Macaca fascicularis: one gene and its partners. The protein of the gene in region 4 binds, or shares a complex with, the protein of the main gene of each other region. Links are inferred from orthologs where the notes say so. Each region holds a gene or a part of one and is shown on either strand. Other genes may lie near its edges.

Region 1 (4,129 bases), on a different chromosome or scaffold from region 4:
ACCGCCCCCGGGGACCGGATCCGGATTCCCGCCGCTCCCCCCTCCCGGGCTCCCTTCGCCGTCCCCGCCCGCACAGGCGGGCGAGCAGCCGGAGAGAAGCGGCCTAGCCTGCCCCCCGCCCCCGAGCCACCCACCCCGGCCAGAGGCGCCGCCACCACCCAGCCACCCCGACGCGCACGGAGGAGCCCGGCACAGAGGCGCGACCGCGGCGGGAACCGCCGCCTCCTCCCCCGAGCCTGCGGCCCAGCCCCGCCGGCGCCCCCGCCCCGGCCTCCGGGGAGCCGAGCCAAGGAGAGGGCGGGAGGACGGCGGCCGGGAGGCGGGGGCGCAGCGCTCACCGGCCCCGCCGCCCCCTCCGGCGGCCGGGGAGAACTGCGCCTGCCGGATCCGAGAAGCGCGGGCTCCTCCGCCAGCGGCCGTGGCTCGGCTCAGGCCTCGCTTCCTGCCTTCCCCTCCCCCGGCTCTCGGCGTCCTCCCAAGTGCCCTGGTCTGCTCGCGCCCGGTCCCCTGCTCGGTGGTCGCTCCGGGTCCCTGCTGGGCGCCCACCGCAACCCGCGGTTCGCTCCCTGCTGTCCGGCCCCGAACCCAGCGCGCGTCCTCAGCCGCCTCGGTTACCCGGCGCAGCGCGGCCTCCGGGCTTCCCGCTCCGGCGGCTCCCTCCCCGGCTCTGAGTGGCGGCGCCCTCCCCCGCTCGGCCGGGCACAGCCGCAGCTCCCTCCCGCGGCGGCAGCGGCTCCTCCTCCGGGCGAGGCGGCGGCGCTGGGGCGGCGGCTGCTGCTGCTGTGGCGGCGGCGGCGGCGGCTGTGGCTGCTGCCTGCTGCTCCTCGCGGCGAAAAGCACAAAGCACAGCGCCCTCCGCCTGCAGGCAGCCCGCCCGCCGCCGGCCCCGGCCTCAGCTCGCACACCCCCCGCCGCCGCCGCAGCCTCAGCCGCCGGAGCGGGGAGGAGGAGGGAGAAGGGAGGAGGAGGAGCGGGAGGGGGGGCGGGAGAAGCGGGGCAGCGAGCGCGTCCTTCCCCGTAGAGCGCACACCGACCCCCGGGGAGCGAGCGCCAGCCCGCCCGCCTCGCCGGCTCCGCTCCCTCCCACAGCCTGCCCGGGCGGGCTCCGCGGGGGGCAGCTGGGAGGAGGGGCGGGAGCTGGGGGGACCCGGGCGGCCGAGGCGGAGGGAAGGAAGGAGGGGAGGGGGGTGGTGGTGGTGCTGGTGGCGGCGGCGGCTGCTGCTGCTGCTGCTGCCGCCGCCGCCGCCGCCGCCGGGGAAGGGGGGGGCCGGGGCAGGGAGACACGCAGCCGCCCGGATGGCGGCGGGGCTCGGAGCCGGGGCGGGCGGGCGGGCGGGCGCCGAGAGCGACCTCGCCAGACCCGCGGGGGAACTAGCAGGCTTTGCCGGCGCGGGAGGGAGGGCCGAGGCGCGGCCGCGGAGAGGGTGCCCGGAGGGGCCCCCGGCGGCCAGGAAGGCTTGGGGGGCGCCCACAGCCCTGCTCCGGAGCTCTCCCCCAAGTCCTCCCAGCTCAGACTGGGGCTTCCAGGCCAGCTCTCTCCCGCCTCCCGGAGCGAGCGGTCCGCGCCCACCCTCATCCCCCGGAGCGTGGCCACTGGTTTGGGGCGCACGCACGCCGATCGCGGCGTCCAGCTTCGGCGCCTACCTCGCGATCCTCTCATTGCCGAACGGTACATAGGAAACTTTAAAAAAACCCAAAACCGAAAATCTCTGCATTAAAAAAAAATCCCCGTTGCTCTTTACACCCCGGAAACGGCGAGGGAACGACGGGCTCCGGCGGAGGGGCCGCTGTGGGAGCCGGTTCAATCCAGCCCGGCATGGCTCCCAGGCCTGCCCGGGCGCATGGAGATCGGTGCCGCCGCCACTCGTAGCAACCCCTCTCCCCCGAAATCCGCGGCGCCCGGGCTCACTTACCGAGCGTGTGGATGGGAGCGCAGGCCGGGGGCACCTGGGAGCACGGCGGGCGGAACAGCCGAGCCGCAGCTCCGCTGCAGCCGACGCCGGGGCAGCGAGTCGCCAGACAAAGCCCGAGATGGCGAAGCGGAGCGACGGCTAATGGCGAGCCCCACGCGCCGCGCTCCGCCCGCCCCGCTCCGCCCGCCCGCCCGCCCGCCTCGGCGCAGCGCAGCGCCGCTCCGAGCGCTTGCCCGTCAGAGCCGCCTCGGCGCCGCCGCCTCCCGGGCCACCCCGGCCTCGCCTGGCCCCTCCGCCTCCTCCGGGCGGCTCAGCCTCACCCCTTCCCTCCCACTGCTTTAGGGGTTGCACAAAAAAAAAATTTTTTTTTAAGTAAAATGGTTTTCTTCCTTTTTTTTCTTTTTTCCTTTTTTGCAGGGCGGGCGTGTTGAGACTTTTGGATCTTTCTGCCCGCAGCTCGCACTCACCTGCGGAGCCGCCGGGAGGGCTAGGGGTGGGGGCGCGCGGGGCTGGAGCCGGCGAGCGCGGGTTGAAAGCCAGCCAAGCTCTGCAGCGCCCGACCCGGGCGTGTACGCCGCCGCCAGTCCCCGCAGAGAAATCGTCCTCCTACCCCCGCCTCCATCGCTCTGCGTTTCTCTTCCAATCAGCCGGTCGCTTGGTGGCTCCTCCATTCTCCGGCCAAGCCCAGCTGCCTAGAGCGAGCTCCACTCCTCCATCTGTTCGCCGGGGTCCTCGCTCCCCTGCCGGGGCTGGCGAGGCGGCGTGAGGCCGGAGGGGGATTTGCAAGGAAACCTGCCTGCTTCCCGCTCCCATTGCTCCATCCCCGCTGCCTCCTGCCTCCTGCTTCTCTCCTGCGTCTTTCCAACTCTCCCCTGTCGCCACTGGTGTGTGTCTGAGTGTGTGCGCGGTTTTTTTTTTTTTTATTGCTCTTTGCTTTTGCAACCCTGAAGCAAAAGGGAGGGGGGGTAGTTACAGGGGAAAAAAAAAAAAAGCGAGAAAGAAGCTCTTAGATTTGCAACACATCGGAAAACCGAGGGAGCACCCCGCCTTATCCGATCTCCATGCTCCGCGAGGGCCTTCCGGGTTTTAAAAGGACGAGCTTATCAATGTCCCCCTCTTCGCTGGGTTTAGGATCCGAGGAGTCCGAGCAAAAAGTTCTCCCCCTGGGTCGTAGTGAGGGGTGTCAGGGTGGGAGTTGCGGGGATTTTTCAAGAAGAAGCGGCTATCCTTCCTACCCCGGCGTCGGTCACTGGGCGGGGGTAGGGGAAAGAGCAAAATCCCAGTGGGTTTGCGCGAGGGATCTTCTGGGGTCGAGGCGGCGGGGGGAGTCGGAACCGGGAGACACCACTTGGCGCATCTCCCCCTCGGTCTATACCTCCTGTCTTTTGCCAGCTCCCCCTTTAATTTTTTTTCTCTCCTTTAATCTAATTTCTTCCAACTCCACCTTTGTTGTTACCGGCGTCACGCCCGGACCAGCCAATCCCCGCCACGCAATCAGCTTGTCAAAAAGCCTCGGCCGGCCCTGGGAAAGCAGGCCGCAGGCGCTGCCCCCCGGCGGCGGCGGGCAGCCGCGAGGGGAGCCCAGCACCCGGTTCTCGCTGCTCCGGGCGGCAGCGGAGCAGCCTCCGACGAGACGTCTCCCGGTTCACTAAACTGCAGGCCGGGGATGAAAGGCCTGGACGGGGTCCACCACCCACCCTCCCACTACCATGGCTGTGGTTGTCTGTCTTTGCCTCCCCTTTTCAGAGGAAAGGTTATCAGGACAGGACGCAGGGAGCCAGAAGACCATCTGAAGGAAGCCTGCTTCCAGCAGGCCCAGCCTCCAGCCACCGCTTCTGGGGCAGCGCCATTGCTCCTGGCTCTCAGGCTGCCAGTCTCCCACACCGAGGCTCTACTTCCCGCATCTCGGCCAGCTGGATCACCCAGCCCCTTTCGACTCTCCCCTGGCATGCAGCCTTCTCCTCCACTCGGCCTGCCTCTTTGCTGCTGTAATTCCTCTTGTCTCCTGGGAGAAATGAGATTGTTTTCCCAGGACTTCCAGATCCCACTTCTGTCACGTTTCACAAACAGGGAGGAAGCCCTGTCAAGATCTGGTGTGTCCTGTTTTTGTTTGTTTGTTTGTTTGTTTTTGGGGGCACTGGCATATAGGAGAGGCGGATTTACCACTCGTAGATTAATTTCAGCTTCTAGGCCCCTAACTTTGAGGACCTGCCCAA
Region 2 (4,209 bases), on a different chromosome or scaffold from region 4:
AGTACAGTGGTGCAATCACAGCTCACTGCAACCTCAAACTCCTGGAACTCCAGGGATGCTCCTGACTCAGCCTCCCAAGTAGCTAGCTAGGACTAATGGCATGCACCACTGTGCTCAGCTTAGCAAAAAACTATGTATCTTTTAAGATAACGTATGGCTCCACAAAGGCTGTATGGTGTATGAGCTCCACAAAGGCTGTATGGTTTGGTTCACTGCTAAGAGTGAGTAAAACAAACACAGCCTACCAGACAGAAACAGGAAGAGGTAGTCTGGAAGAGATGCTAATATGACCCAAAGAATACATTTTTTTCTTGAAGAATGTGTCCCATTATAATATATTCACATTTTGAATTTAAAGTATTTGCAATGCTATTATCAATCTACATTAACTAGATAAACCTGGAAGGTCAGTGAAATCTGGTTTTCCTTCTTTCCCAATTCCTGAAAATCATCTTTACTGTCACTCATTATATAAAATAATTTCTCATAATTCAGATACAATAAATATGATTGAATCCACTCAGTTCTCCAGTAAAAACCCACTTACCTTTGATTTGCAAGTTCCATAGCATCAGATGTCACATGGTCGGTAGAATCTATTCCTGATTTATCCATCAATTGCTTTGTTTTATAACAGTTTTCTGAAATTATGAAATTTAGTAAATGTGACAAAGCTTCCCTAAATATTGACACAGTATCTACTATAATATTCAACATGGTCAGACTATGCCACTGATTTTAGGCAAAATCATTTGCCGGGGTTAACCTTCTTATCCATTTCAGATCAATTTCTTTAAAAAGAAATCCAGAAATTCTATTCACAGGTTCTTTCAGTTTTTACCCTCTAAATGTATTCAATGGAACAAGATTCCAAAAAAGTACTGTCACTTCCAAAAAAAGCATCTTTCAATATAAGTAGAAAATACAGTTTTATCATTAGCCACTTACTAACGTGCAATTACCAATACAGTATTAATGTAAAATTAAAAACCATTTTCCAAGATCAAAGAGGGAATTCCTAAGGCAAAATGTGCCCTATATAAACCAGGAAAAGGATCTCCAATCAACAGACCCTGATCACCTCTCCATTATAATTCCTAGATTCTTCATTCCTAGATTCATTTAAGTAACTGAACTTTGTCATACTGTATCTTTGCCATTATTGGTGGAAACTGACAAGTTCTGAATTCTCAACCTTTTTCAATAAACTATCATAATTCTTTGTGTTTTCATCCCCATGGTAGAGTATACAACATGCCAAAAAAAGAAGAAAAAAAAGATTCCTTCTTGTGAGCTAAAAGAAAAAACAGGTTGGTCTGGGTGGCTCAGGCCTGTGTAACACAGCACTTTGGGAGGTCGAGGCGGGCGGATCGCTCGAGCCCAGGAGCTCAAGACCAACCTGGGCAACGTGGTGAAACTCCGTCTCTACAAAAAATACAAAAATTAGCCGGGCTAGTGGCGCGCGCCTGTGGTCAGGAGGCTGAGGTAGGTGAATACCTGAGCCTGGGAGGTGGAAGTTGTATGTAGTGAGCCTCAGCACACAAGGAGACCCTTGTCTCTACAAAAAATTCTTAAGATACTGGCTAGGTGTGGTGACCCGTGCCTGTGCTCCCAGCCACTCGGGAGGATCGCTTGAGCAGAGGTGGAGGTTGCAGTGAGCCGAGATTGCACCACTGCACCCCAGCCTGGACGACAGAACAAGACCCTGTCTCAGAAAAAAAAAAAAAAAAAAAAAAAAATAGGCATGGCAACAAAAATGAAGGATAACTACTTATTTCACTATTGTACTTGCCTTAGTCAATCTCTTGTCTCATTCTGTAGCTTCTTGGGACCTAACATGAGTCATTGCATATAAATCCTAGGATGAACTAGCAAAACATTTAAAATATAAAACGATAAGGTTACCAAGAGCTCAGATTTGTTAAATGCCCAATGGACCCCTGTGGTAATTTTCTGGTAGTACGTCTTATTAGCTTAAGTACAGGATTCTACGAAGTCATTATATATCGAATGCTCAAAAACGGAATTCAACAAAAATTTGGCCCCATGCATTAATGGTATACCTGTGGTTAATTTTTTTTTAAAGTAGGGATTATCAAAATAAAGCTAGCTCAAGAATCACTTTTTTCTTAGTGTTTAGAAGACACTCCTACTTGGGTGTCGATGCATCCGCTGGAATTCTGCAATTCTTAGAGGCCACGTGGGCAGAAAGCGGCGCTTTACCCGGAGCTAATTCTGTGACCACCAGCGCGTCTCTCCGGGCAGCGCCTAACCTCCAGGAAACCGGCGCTATCAATGGGTACCTCACATATGAAGGTTAAATCATTTAAATTACGTTAAGAAGGTTAAACTTGTCTGCAACACGTTTTAACACCTCCATCTCAAGATATAATGAAGCCCGCCCACACTACAACCACGTTTGTGGGCCTCATACCAGCCGCGTGGCGCGGAGTGGCCTGCAACCGTGATCCCTTCACCCTCTCGGCCCGACTTCCGAGGCTCAATCCTCCGGAACAACGCAGGGGCCGAAACCCCAGATATGCAATGCCTCCCCTGCCCAACAAGCCCAGACGGCCTTGCCCTCTTGGCAACCTACCTAAAACCGCCTCACACCGGCCCCAACCGCGCACTTGCTGCCCGTAACCCAGGCCTCGGGCCAAAACCTGCGACTGGCCTGGTGCGTGAGTCCTGGAGATTTGCACACACCACCCTCCCGATTTCAGTCCTCCAACTCCGGAAAACTAGCCGATGTCCTCCAACCGCGCGGAAGAAAAGGGTGGGATATCCCCGCGGCCCAAGTAATAGTCAGGCAGAAATCTCGCGATACAATTTAGCTCCCGGGAAGAAGGCGAGCGGTGGGAGGAGTCGCGACGCGGGGGCGCCATTTTTCTCGCCGCGCAGGGAGGAGCGACTAACGTGGGCGGAGCTGTAGCTCGCTTACTCTGAGGAGGCGGGGTTGGCGTAGGCGGAGATCGGGATTCTGGTGTTTTGCTTGCGTGACCGATTCGGTAAGTGGAATAGCCAAGAACATTTCGGCAAATAACAAAAAGAAAATGTGCGGCCAATTGTGAGTGGATGAGAACTGCGAGGAAACAGCCTCTCAGCCCGGGTCGTTTCCGGTGGTCTCGCGTTTGCTGAGCTGTCTCCCGGCTTTCTAAACCTGGTCCCGAGTATGTGGTGAGGGTGACGGGTGGGATGTGTGAATGAGTGTTTTGTCATCCTGTGTCTACTTTTGCCTTCAAAACCCTTGTGTGTGAAAATATTCGGGAAGGTTACTCGAAGTTTGTAACCTTTGTGCTGGACGCCAGTGTTATGCCGTAGCACGCCCAGGTCTCCTCCCCACCTTTGCACCTGTTTCGGGAGCTCACCCTTTCTGCCTCCCAGGAATTGGCTAACACGTCACAAGTGAGACCTGTGGAGGATTTCTTTTTCCTCAGTTTCCTCCTACATCCCCCCCGCCCCCCACCATTAGTTCCTTGACCAGTTCCTGAGTTAAGATTAAGCTGTGTAAACTAGTTTAGTTTTGGTGGGGTTTTTTTCTTCGAAAGTTTTTTGTTTTTTTTTTTTGTTTTTCGGTTTTTTGGGGTTTTTTTGAGACCGAGTTTCGCTCTTGTTGCCCAGGCTGGAGTGCAATGGCGCGATCTTGGCTCACCGCAAGCTCCGCTTCCCGGGTTCAAGCGATTCTCCTGCCTCAGCCTCCCAAGTAGCTGAGATTACAGGCATGTGCCACCATGCCCTGCTAATTTTTTTGTACTTTTAGGAGACACGGGGTTTCTCCATGTTGGTCAGGCTGGTCTCGAACTCCTGACCTCAGGTGATCCACCCGCCTCGGCCTCCCAAAGTGCTGGGATTACAGGCGTGAGCCACCGGCCTCCCAAAGAAATTTTTAAAAGGATTGAACTGGTTTGATTTTTCTGGTTTCAAACTTCTGTTTTCATATGATACACCGCAAAAACCAGTAAAGCTGTCTAATCTTATTTTATAGTTTACATCATTTTAGGATAGCGCGTGCCTTAAAAGTAATCTGGTCTCTTTACCCTCCTTTGCTCCATAGATTGGACAATTTCGGGGATAAAAAGTCTGACACTGCATTTGATCCACAGGGGCTGGGCAGTGACTAAGCTCCAGGACTGGTATGGCATGTCCCTCACTGCCATATTCAGCAGCAAGCCTAGCTCTGTAATTTGTGAGGCTCAATGCAAAATGTAA
Region 3 (4,174 bases), on a different chromosome or scaffold from region 4:
CACAGTCAACCAGGATTTGAACCCAGACAGTCCACTTCTCCCAAAATTTCATTTTCTTACCTTGATTCCGATACTCAAAAAGACGGGGATCAGCATGAATGGGAATGAGCCCCAGACGGTGAGCAAGGATCTCATCCTGAACAATGGATGTATTATTGTACACCAGGACCTTCTCCACAGCCATAGTTGGCACCTGCCCAAGGAAAAATAACCACTTATCTGCAAAAACCCAACAGACCCCCTACCTATCCCCACAACCCCACCCTCCAGAGGTAAGGAGCTATCTCTCTTCCTAGAATGTTTAATGAGAAATTTACAAAGAATGAGAAGGTAAAATGCTCAGCAAAATTCCAGGAAAAATGAGGGAAGGACAGCTTGAGACAATTCTCCAAGTGAGGTGTCAGTGCAGTTCCCAAAGCAACTCCAGCCTTGTCACCATGCCTGCCAATACCTCAGCTAACAGAATTCGTCGAAAAGCATTGGCAATGGCTGCGTCAATTCCCACCATGTCGAACTCCAGTGAGTTTTCATCCATGTGTACTACATCCACACGGAAATTCTAGAGGGACAGGAAAAACATTTAAGTGAAACCTGCTCTCTCTGTAATATCTCTTCATACCTCCCCCTTAGATAATTCCCTCAAGTATTATCCTCTCATCCAAAAACCTCCCTTTGCCCAGATGTCCCTTATTAAATATTCTTTCTCGCCCAGTGCTTTAGTTTCATAAAAAGTCTCCATTTTTGTCGTCCATTCATTAAAACCCTATGCAATATGGCTTCCAACCAAACCATCCACAGAAGCTATTCCACTAAAGAACAGAAACTACCATAGTGCTTAGTCCTGTTGACACTACCCAGTCCTCTTACTAGACTTCTGTTATGCTTGACATTGATTAAAAAACCTCCTCTGGGCCCAGCACGGTGACTCACACCTGTAATCCCAGCACTATGGGAGGCCGAGGGGCGGATCACAAGGTCAGGAGTTTGAGACCAGCCTGGCCAGCATGGTGAAACCCCGTCTCTACTAAAAATTCAAAAAATTAGCTGGGCATGGTGGCGCGTAGCTGTAGTCCCAGCTACTCGGGAGGCTGAGGCAGGAGAACTGCCTGAACCCAGGAGGCGGAGGTTGCAGTGAGCCAAGATTGCACCACTGCACTCCAGCCTGGGAGATAAGAGTGTCTCATGAAAAGGAAAAAAAAAAAAAAAATCCCCTTTTTTGAACGATTCCCCTGGTTTCTGAGCTCCACTCTTCTTCCATCTCTGATGATCAACTTCCACCCATCTCTAAATTTGCCAGGTTCTTGTCTCTCTCCCAGGTCACCTTAACTGTACTAACAGTTTTAGCAACTATCTGTTCTGACAACTCCCAAAATTTTATCTCACTTCTGATCTCATTTCAAGCATGCAGTCTTCTAGCCTGCTAGATTTCCCCACATACAGAAAACAATGCATCATCATCCCTGTTCCCCAGACCCATTTCTCCTCTTAGTAAATGATACCACAAAGCAAAAAGCAGTTCCCAAGCCAGAAAAAGTCATTTTATGCTACCCCCACAGCCTTTATCCAAGCAATCATAAATTTACCTTATATTCTTCCTTTGCTCTATTTCTACCATCAGTCTTAGTTCATATCTTCAACCTCAGCTTCCCTTACGACAGATCTGCCTGCTCCATATGATCCTCCTCAAACTCATTCCCTCCCAGCCATCAAGGTTGCAAATCTGATCATGTCTGCTTAAGAAACTATTCAAGCTCCCTATCATCCACAGTGTGACACACTTCAATCTTGCCGACCACTCATGCCAGAACTACTTGGACATTCCCGGAGCACATGTCACAGAAGTCATAATTTTTTTTCAAGCATTAGCCTTTTTCATTGTTCATACTTTATTCCTTGTATCAACAGGTTAAAAAAGTAAAATTTTCCCAGGCACTGATTTACACATCATGTTTATAAGCTGCATAAAGGGTAACATTTAGGTCAGTTGCATAAAGGGTAACATTCAGTAATCTATTTAAATGCAATTTTAACCCTTATTTTAAGCTAAGTGAAACAATAATACAAAAGACTAAATACACACAAAACCTGCATATCCTGAACTTCACTGACGTGAAACTCAAATCTTTCATAATTCAACTCCTGTTTTTTTTTTTACTTACCATTCAAGGTTCAATTCAGGTGTCCCCTCCTCTTGAAATGTTAAGTACCTCTCGGCCCCTCTTCCTGGTCTCAGCGGAATGCTCCCCACCCCAACCCTGCCGTCTTCATCGCTATCAACCACCTTCACCATATTACACTAGATGCACTTGTTTATACGCACCATTCCTCAACAAGACGGAATATCTCTGCAGAGATAGAAACCGTGTCTAATTTGGCCTGTAAACGGAGCGTCTAGCACATTGCTCAACAAACACAAACGGAGCGACCCCCAAAAGCAGCTGCTGAGACAGACACAGGCTGCTCAGGCCACAGGGTCTGGCCTTCATAACCCTCCCCAGACAACTTCGGCCCCACTTACCTTCTCGAAGCGGTCCTGGTCCCAGGCATCATCATAACCGGAATAGTTTCCGGGAAAGTCAGTGGTATGGACCTAGAGCAAAGGGACGAGTTTGTCCACAAAGGGACAATGAGCCCACGGCTATCCCCACGCCAATCCCAAGACCCACCCCTGTTCCGCTCTCATTCCTCCCGCCCGAGCTCAAGGCCACAAGGCTTACATTGCGAACCCCAAACTCCCCTAGAACCACGCGGCCCCGCATCTCCTCCACCGCCTGAGAAGCCGCCATCTTCAATCTCTCCACGAGACTGGAGGCTCTATCTGGCGCGTGCGTCCTAGTAGACTGGCTCCGTCTCCGTGGCAACGCGCCACCGCCTGGAATCTTAAATATCGCGAGACTTTTCCCCGCTTCCGTCCACGTCCCCAGCCTCCGGAAGTTGGTTTTGTCCAAACATCCGGGCTTCTCTTTTTTGTGTTCCGGCCGATCCCACCTCTCCTCGACCCGGGACGTCTCCCTCACTAAGGCCCACGTCTCGCCCACTCCTCCGCGCGCGGGGCTAGCGCGGGCTTCAGCGACGGGAGCCTTCAAGGGACATGGCAACTACAGCGGCGCCGGCGGGCGGCGCCCGAAATGGAGCTGGCCCGGAATGGGGAGGGTTCGAAGAAAACATCCAGGTAATGGCCCCAAGGCACTAGCTGCCAGCAACCCGAGGGCCAGCGATGTCCAGAAGTGTCTTGAGGATTCTCCCTGTGGGCCTGGAAGTCCGCTCCATTTGCAAAACTCTCTTCTTTGGGTCTTCGTGCACACTAAAGTCAGTAGGATTAACATTGACCTGAAAGGGCCAGACTAGTACTCCAGCCTGAGGGTCTCGGGTCTCTGGGCCCGCTCGAGGCATTAGGAAGAAGGTATTCTTGGAACAAGTTAGGAAGTTGGTCGGGGTCAGGCATGGAGTGGGGTTGGGTGGGGATTCACTGGCATTCGCTGAAAACATATTATGTGTATAGTTTTGTTTGGGGCTTAGGAAAGAAGGAAATGGGCACTTTTTCAGCCTTTTAGTCTTTGGTAGGTAAGGTAGGAAAAAGACAGGAATGGAAGACTAGTAGTATGTTTCCCAGGCTAGAAAATTCAGCCAAAGCTAGAAACCAAGAGTTCTGAGAGCATATGAGGGGGAATGGAGTGGCATGATCTGTAGTGATTCCGAGCCGTATCCTCAGCAGTGGAAGAACAAAGCCCTAAACCCTGGGATGAGCAGAGGACTTAATGGATGGAACAGAAAAGTCCTGCACTCTAGGAGCCATTGTCTTCACAGGGCGGAGGCTCAGCTGTGATTGACATGGAGAACATGGATGATACCTCAGGCTCTAGCTTCGAGGATATGGGTGAGCTGCATCAGCGCCTGCGCGAGGAAGAAGTAGACGCTGATGCAGCTGATGCAGCTGCTGCTGAAGAAGAGGATGGAGAGTTCCTGGGCATGAAAGGCTTTAAGGGACAGCTGAGCCGGCAGGTGGCAGATCAGGTAAGCATGATTGAATCTTCTGCAGGTGGAAAGGTATACCTAGGTATGTCCCATGTTCTGGAGTTGGTGTTGGTGATGTTTGCCCCAGGTTGTCCAGTTAGAACCATGTAGAAATCAAGCGGAAAATAGGCAACAGGGTCTAGAACCAACAGTCCCACAA
Region 4 (3,510 bases):
AGAGGAAAGGGAGTCGAAGTTAGTGAAACTACCTGCCCAGAGACCAAGGAGATACCACTTATCACATAAGGAAATACTGCTTACTTAGTCCTAGTATTTAGGACTAAGCAGTCTTACTTACTTAGGACTAAGATATGGAGGAGAATGAAAACAGAAGGGGTTAATCCTAGAGAGACTATGGAGAAACTATACAAGGAAGCAATTTGCAAAGAATCACACAGCTCCAATGAATGCAAATCTGGGCATAAATGAAGATGATAACAGCACTGAAGGTTAAGAGAAGGGAAATCAGTTTGAGAACTGAATGGTCAACTTCTGGTATAGTCAATAAATCAAGAAATTGTCCATTATAACCTTTATACAAAACTGAAATGACCATTTTGACGTATTCTTTAAACATATTATTCTGAGAAATAACATAATAATATTACAAAATAAATTAAACTCCATTCTAGGCACACAGGAAGAAATGTTTATTATATGTAATAATGACTGCTAAAGAAAACCTATAGCCTTTCTTAGAAATTGGCAAAGACTTTCTTCTTGACCAAACTCCAGCCAGGCTCCTCTAAGCTCTCTTCTGAACTAGGCCTCAAACTTGGCCAATAAAAACTTGAACAGACAGTAACATAGTTTCTAACAGCTCAAGGCCATATCCCCAGGATTACCCCAGCCAGCCCCTCTTGAAATGCATGCCTGGGAAAACTCCAGAAAAATTTACTGGTGGTTCTGCCTTCTGCTTTTTAGCCTCCCCACCCCCACCCCTTACAACCCCAAGTCACCTCCACAGAAACTGGAATGGAGCTTAGCTCTTCCTCCTGTCAGTAGTTACTGAATCAAACCTGTCTTCACTGCTCTAATGTCTGGCTGTGTTTATCCTTGTCTAAACCACATTCAAAACAGCAACGAACCTAAAATAATCATGAACTTAATTATGAACCATCTAATTTGTGACTGAAGCCTTTTATATATCAGAAGTATTATAAAGGATCAAGAATTTTAAATCCATAAAAAGTCTGTTCACCGTAATATCTGGATGAAGTCAATAGGGAAATTACTAGATTACTCCTTAAGATCCCTCTGCCCCTCAGTCTCATCACAAGAAAAAGTTTACCTGTATTTACTTACCAAGCTTTGACAATTCCATCTTCTTTTTAGACCAGGTGTAATACTGTAAAAGCCCTTTATAGGCCTGAATAAGGTTGATTAATATTCCCCGGGAAGATGTGTTTTCACCATGTCTCCATGTCTCTGCCTCACTCAGATTTCTCTTAGCATCTTTAAGCATTCCATGATGCAGAAGGTATAATGCATGTTGTAAGGAGATCTGCAAAAATAATAAGGGCACACTGCCATTTAAGCCATTTGATAACCATTAGTCAAAAAGCTCAGTAAATATATAATACATGCTGGGCTAAGACCTTGGTAGAATACAAATAACCTGACATTGAAAATTTTGATGTTGGGGACAATCTGGCAAAGAAGTAAGACATAGGAAACAATTAACACTATGCAAATATGAGCTAAATTATGTAAACTTACAAACAAAAGACAGTGTGATATACTGAGGAAAAAAGAGGCTTTGAAGATGGAGTGTCTTGGTTAATACACCACTTAAAAACTAAATAAACCTGGGTAAATTATTCACCCTTCGTGAGTCTCATTTGTTTTACGGGAACATTATTGCCCCTTCAGAAGGGTGTTTTCAAGATTAAATGAGATAATACTTGCAAACCACCTAATAGTTTGGCTCATAGCAGACATTCAATAAATATTACTATTTTATACATGCTATATAAGCTTAGAGAAAATATGTTAATAAGGAATGTTGAAGAATGACTTCAGCTCAGATGGGAAGGAAAGTGTATCCCTGATACAGGAGAAGCAGGAAGAATAATTATACAAAGAATGAGTATTACAAGAAGGGAAGACATTAAAGAGGAGAATAATTAGAACTACAATTAATCATATGGGTAGAGCCAAAGTACTGCAATAATTTGTCAACTGGCCTCTCCATTCCTGCCTCCCTACAATTCATCTTTCAAGTGGCTACCAAAGAAATCTCATCTTGTTAGTTATTTGCATAAACTCCTTCAATGGCTCCCACTGACTACAGAATTAAAATCCAAGTTCCTAGGGTGCAGCACACAGCGCCCAGCCTACTTCCTCCGACTTCTACCCAAATGATTTTTAGAGTAACTAAACTATTGGATGTAGGGCTTCTGAACTCTTTATAACCCCTGCCACACAGGGCTGCTTTCCCCTAATCTGCCTAGTGAACAACCAACAGCTTTTTCAAACTTATCTCAAGTATCACTTTCATTCTTTTCCTGATTCCCCTACCCATTAAATCCTAACCCTCTCTAGTTCCAGAGAACTGGCCATTTTCTCCTTTATCTTCTCACTATATGTTACATTTCTACTATGGTAGCCATAACACTTAATGCCATTTACATGATCTTCCTCTACTATTGAGAACCATGTCTAGAACAATACCTGGTAAGCGGCAATAAGTGTTTTTAAAATTATTAACAACAAAAAAAGTTTTCTTATCTATCCTAATTATCACTCTCAGACTCTTATTGAGAAATGAGGTTCCCTTTCAGTTTCTTTACTTCAACTGAGGAGATTCTAGGAGCCAAAAGGGACCTAACCAACAGTTTAAACTTCACACTCTCCCCACAATCAAATGGCTATCCAGTTTAGACCTGAAAAAACAGATGCACAGCACACATCAGGGTAGGCCATTCCCATTTCCAATTGTTTAGTTAGAAAGCTTTTCTTAAGTAGAACTGTAAACTGCCTCCATTTAATTTCCACTCACAGTATATCTGGTCTACCAGAGAACAAAACCATAAGAGCACCTGGCACATAAAGTAGACACTCAAAACATTTTTTTAAAGCAAAGCATTTACAAACTTGTATTGAAAAAGTGCCCTTTGAGACAAAAACAGAGAGAGGGAGATACAGTATTTTGAAAATATCTCAATCTTTTTCAGTAAGACTTTTACAAAAGAATATATGAATTTGGAGGTCAAGATTCCACCTAAACATTAGGAGTACTAAAATATTTTCACGTATTTAAATTCCCAACTTGTTTAGCTCTTTCCTTTTTCTAAACACCAACTCTAAGCTCAAATGACTTCAGCAAACATTTCAGAATTTGACCCATCATCATACCACTGCAATCTCTGAATAACTGATTTTGGCAGCCAGAAGAAATACACAAAAAAAGGAATTTTCAGTCAGAGAACACGGGAGGTGACTGAAAATCAAGAAGTAAATGGTTCTCATAATACTCTTTTCTTTCAGTTTCTCTTATTTATCCAGATGCCTTATCCTTGTCCCACATTTTTTAGGTTAACTACCTTATCACTGACACAAGCAATTAAAAAAAAAAAAAAAGAAAGAAAGAAAGAAAAAAAGAATACCGCAAGGGTAAATTCACAAAGCCCATATTCTCACCTTTAAATAATTCATGACGCCAATATTTTTCATCCGGTCAGCAAA

What was found. The genes of interacting proteins can lie anywhere in the genome.
Region 1: TAF1A (region 4) and UBTF share a complex: the UniProt entries of both Homo sapiens proteins name them as parts of the pol I pre-initiation complex. The link is inferred for Macaca fascicularis from reciprocal best matches to the Homo sapiens genes TAF1A and UBTF.
Region 2: TAF1A (region 4) and TAF1D share a complex: the UniProt entries of both Homo sapiens proteins name them as parts of the transcription factor SL1/TIF-IB complex. The link is inferred for Macaca fascicularis from reciprocal best matches to the Homo sapiens genes TAF1A and TAF1D.
Region 3: TAF1A (region 4) and POLR1C share a complex: the UniProt entries of both Homo sapiens proteins name them as parts of the pol I pre-initiation complex. The link is inferred for Macaca fascicularis from reciprocal best matches to the Homo sapiens genes TAF1A and POLR1C.

Annotation. Positions count from the first base shown.
Region 1 is NC_088390.1:65,276,755-65,280,883, forward strand, and holds the start of UBTF (nucleolar transcription factor 1), read right to left. Parts: upstream 2,808-4,129; 5' UTR 2,381-2,807; intron 2,029-2,380; exon of another isoform or gene 1,914-2,028; intron 1,093-1,913; exon of another isoform or gene 1,035-1,092; intron 670-1,034; exon of another isoform or gene 339-669; intron 276-338; exon of another isoform or gene 135-275; intron 1-134. UniProt on the Homo sapiens protein: Recognizes the ribosomal RNA gene promoter and activates transcription mediated by RNA polymerase I (Pol I) through cooperative interactions with the transcription factor SL1/TIF-IB complex.
Region 2 is NC_088388.1:92,775,359-92,779,567, forward strand, and holds the start of TAF1D (TATA box-binding protein-associated factor RNA polymerase I subunit D), read right to left. Parts: upstream 2,808-4,209; 5' UTR 2,597-2,807; intron 1,869-2,596; exon of another isoform or gene 1,793-1,868; intron 642-1,792; 5' UTR 616-641; coding exon 548-615; intron 1-547. UniProt on the Homo sapiens protein: Component of the transcription factor SL1/TIF-IB complex, which is involved in the assembly of the PIC (preinitiation complex) during RNA polymerase I-dependent transcription.
Region 3 is NC_088378.1:128,003,805-128,007,978, forward strand, and holds the start of POLR1C (DNA-directed RNA polymerases I and III subunit RPAC1), read right to left. Parts: upstream 2,808-4,174; 5' UTR 2,787-2,807; coding exon 2,718-2,786; intron 2,591-2,717; coding exon 2,519-2,590; intron 560-2,518; coding exon 452-559; intron 194-451; coding exon 61-193; intron 1-60. Other genes in the region: protein YIPF3, read left to right, coding at 3,092-3,172, 3,808-4,014. UniProt on the Homo sapiens protein: DNA-dependent RNA polymerase catalyzes the transcription of DNA into RNA using the four ribonucleoside triphosphates as substrates.
Region 4 is NC_088375.1:80,567,657-80,571,166, forward strand, and holds part of TAF1A (TATA box-binding protein-associated factor RNA polymerase I subunit A), read right to left. Parts: coding exon 3,466-3,510; intron 1,328-3,465; coding exon 1,129-1,327; intron 1-1,128. UniProt on the Homo sapiens protein: Component of the transcription factor SL1/TIF-IB complex, which is involved in the assembly of the PIC (pre-initiation complex) during RNA polymerase I-dependent transcription.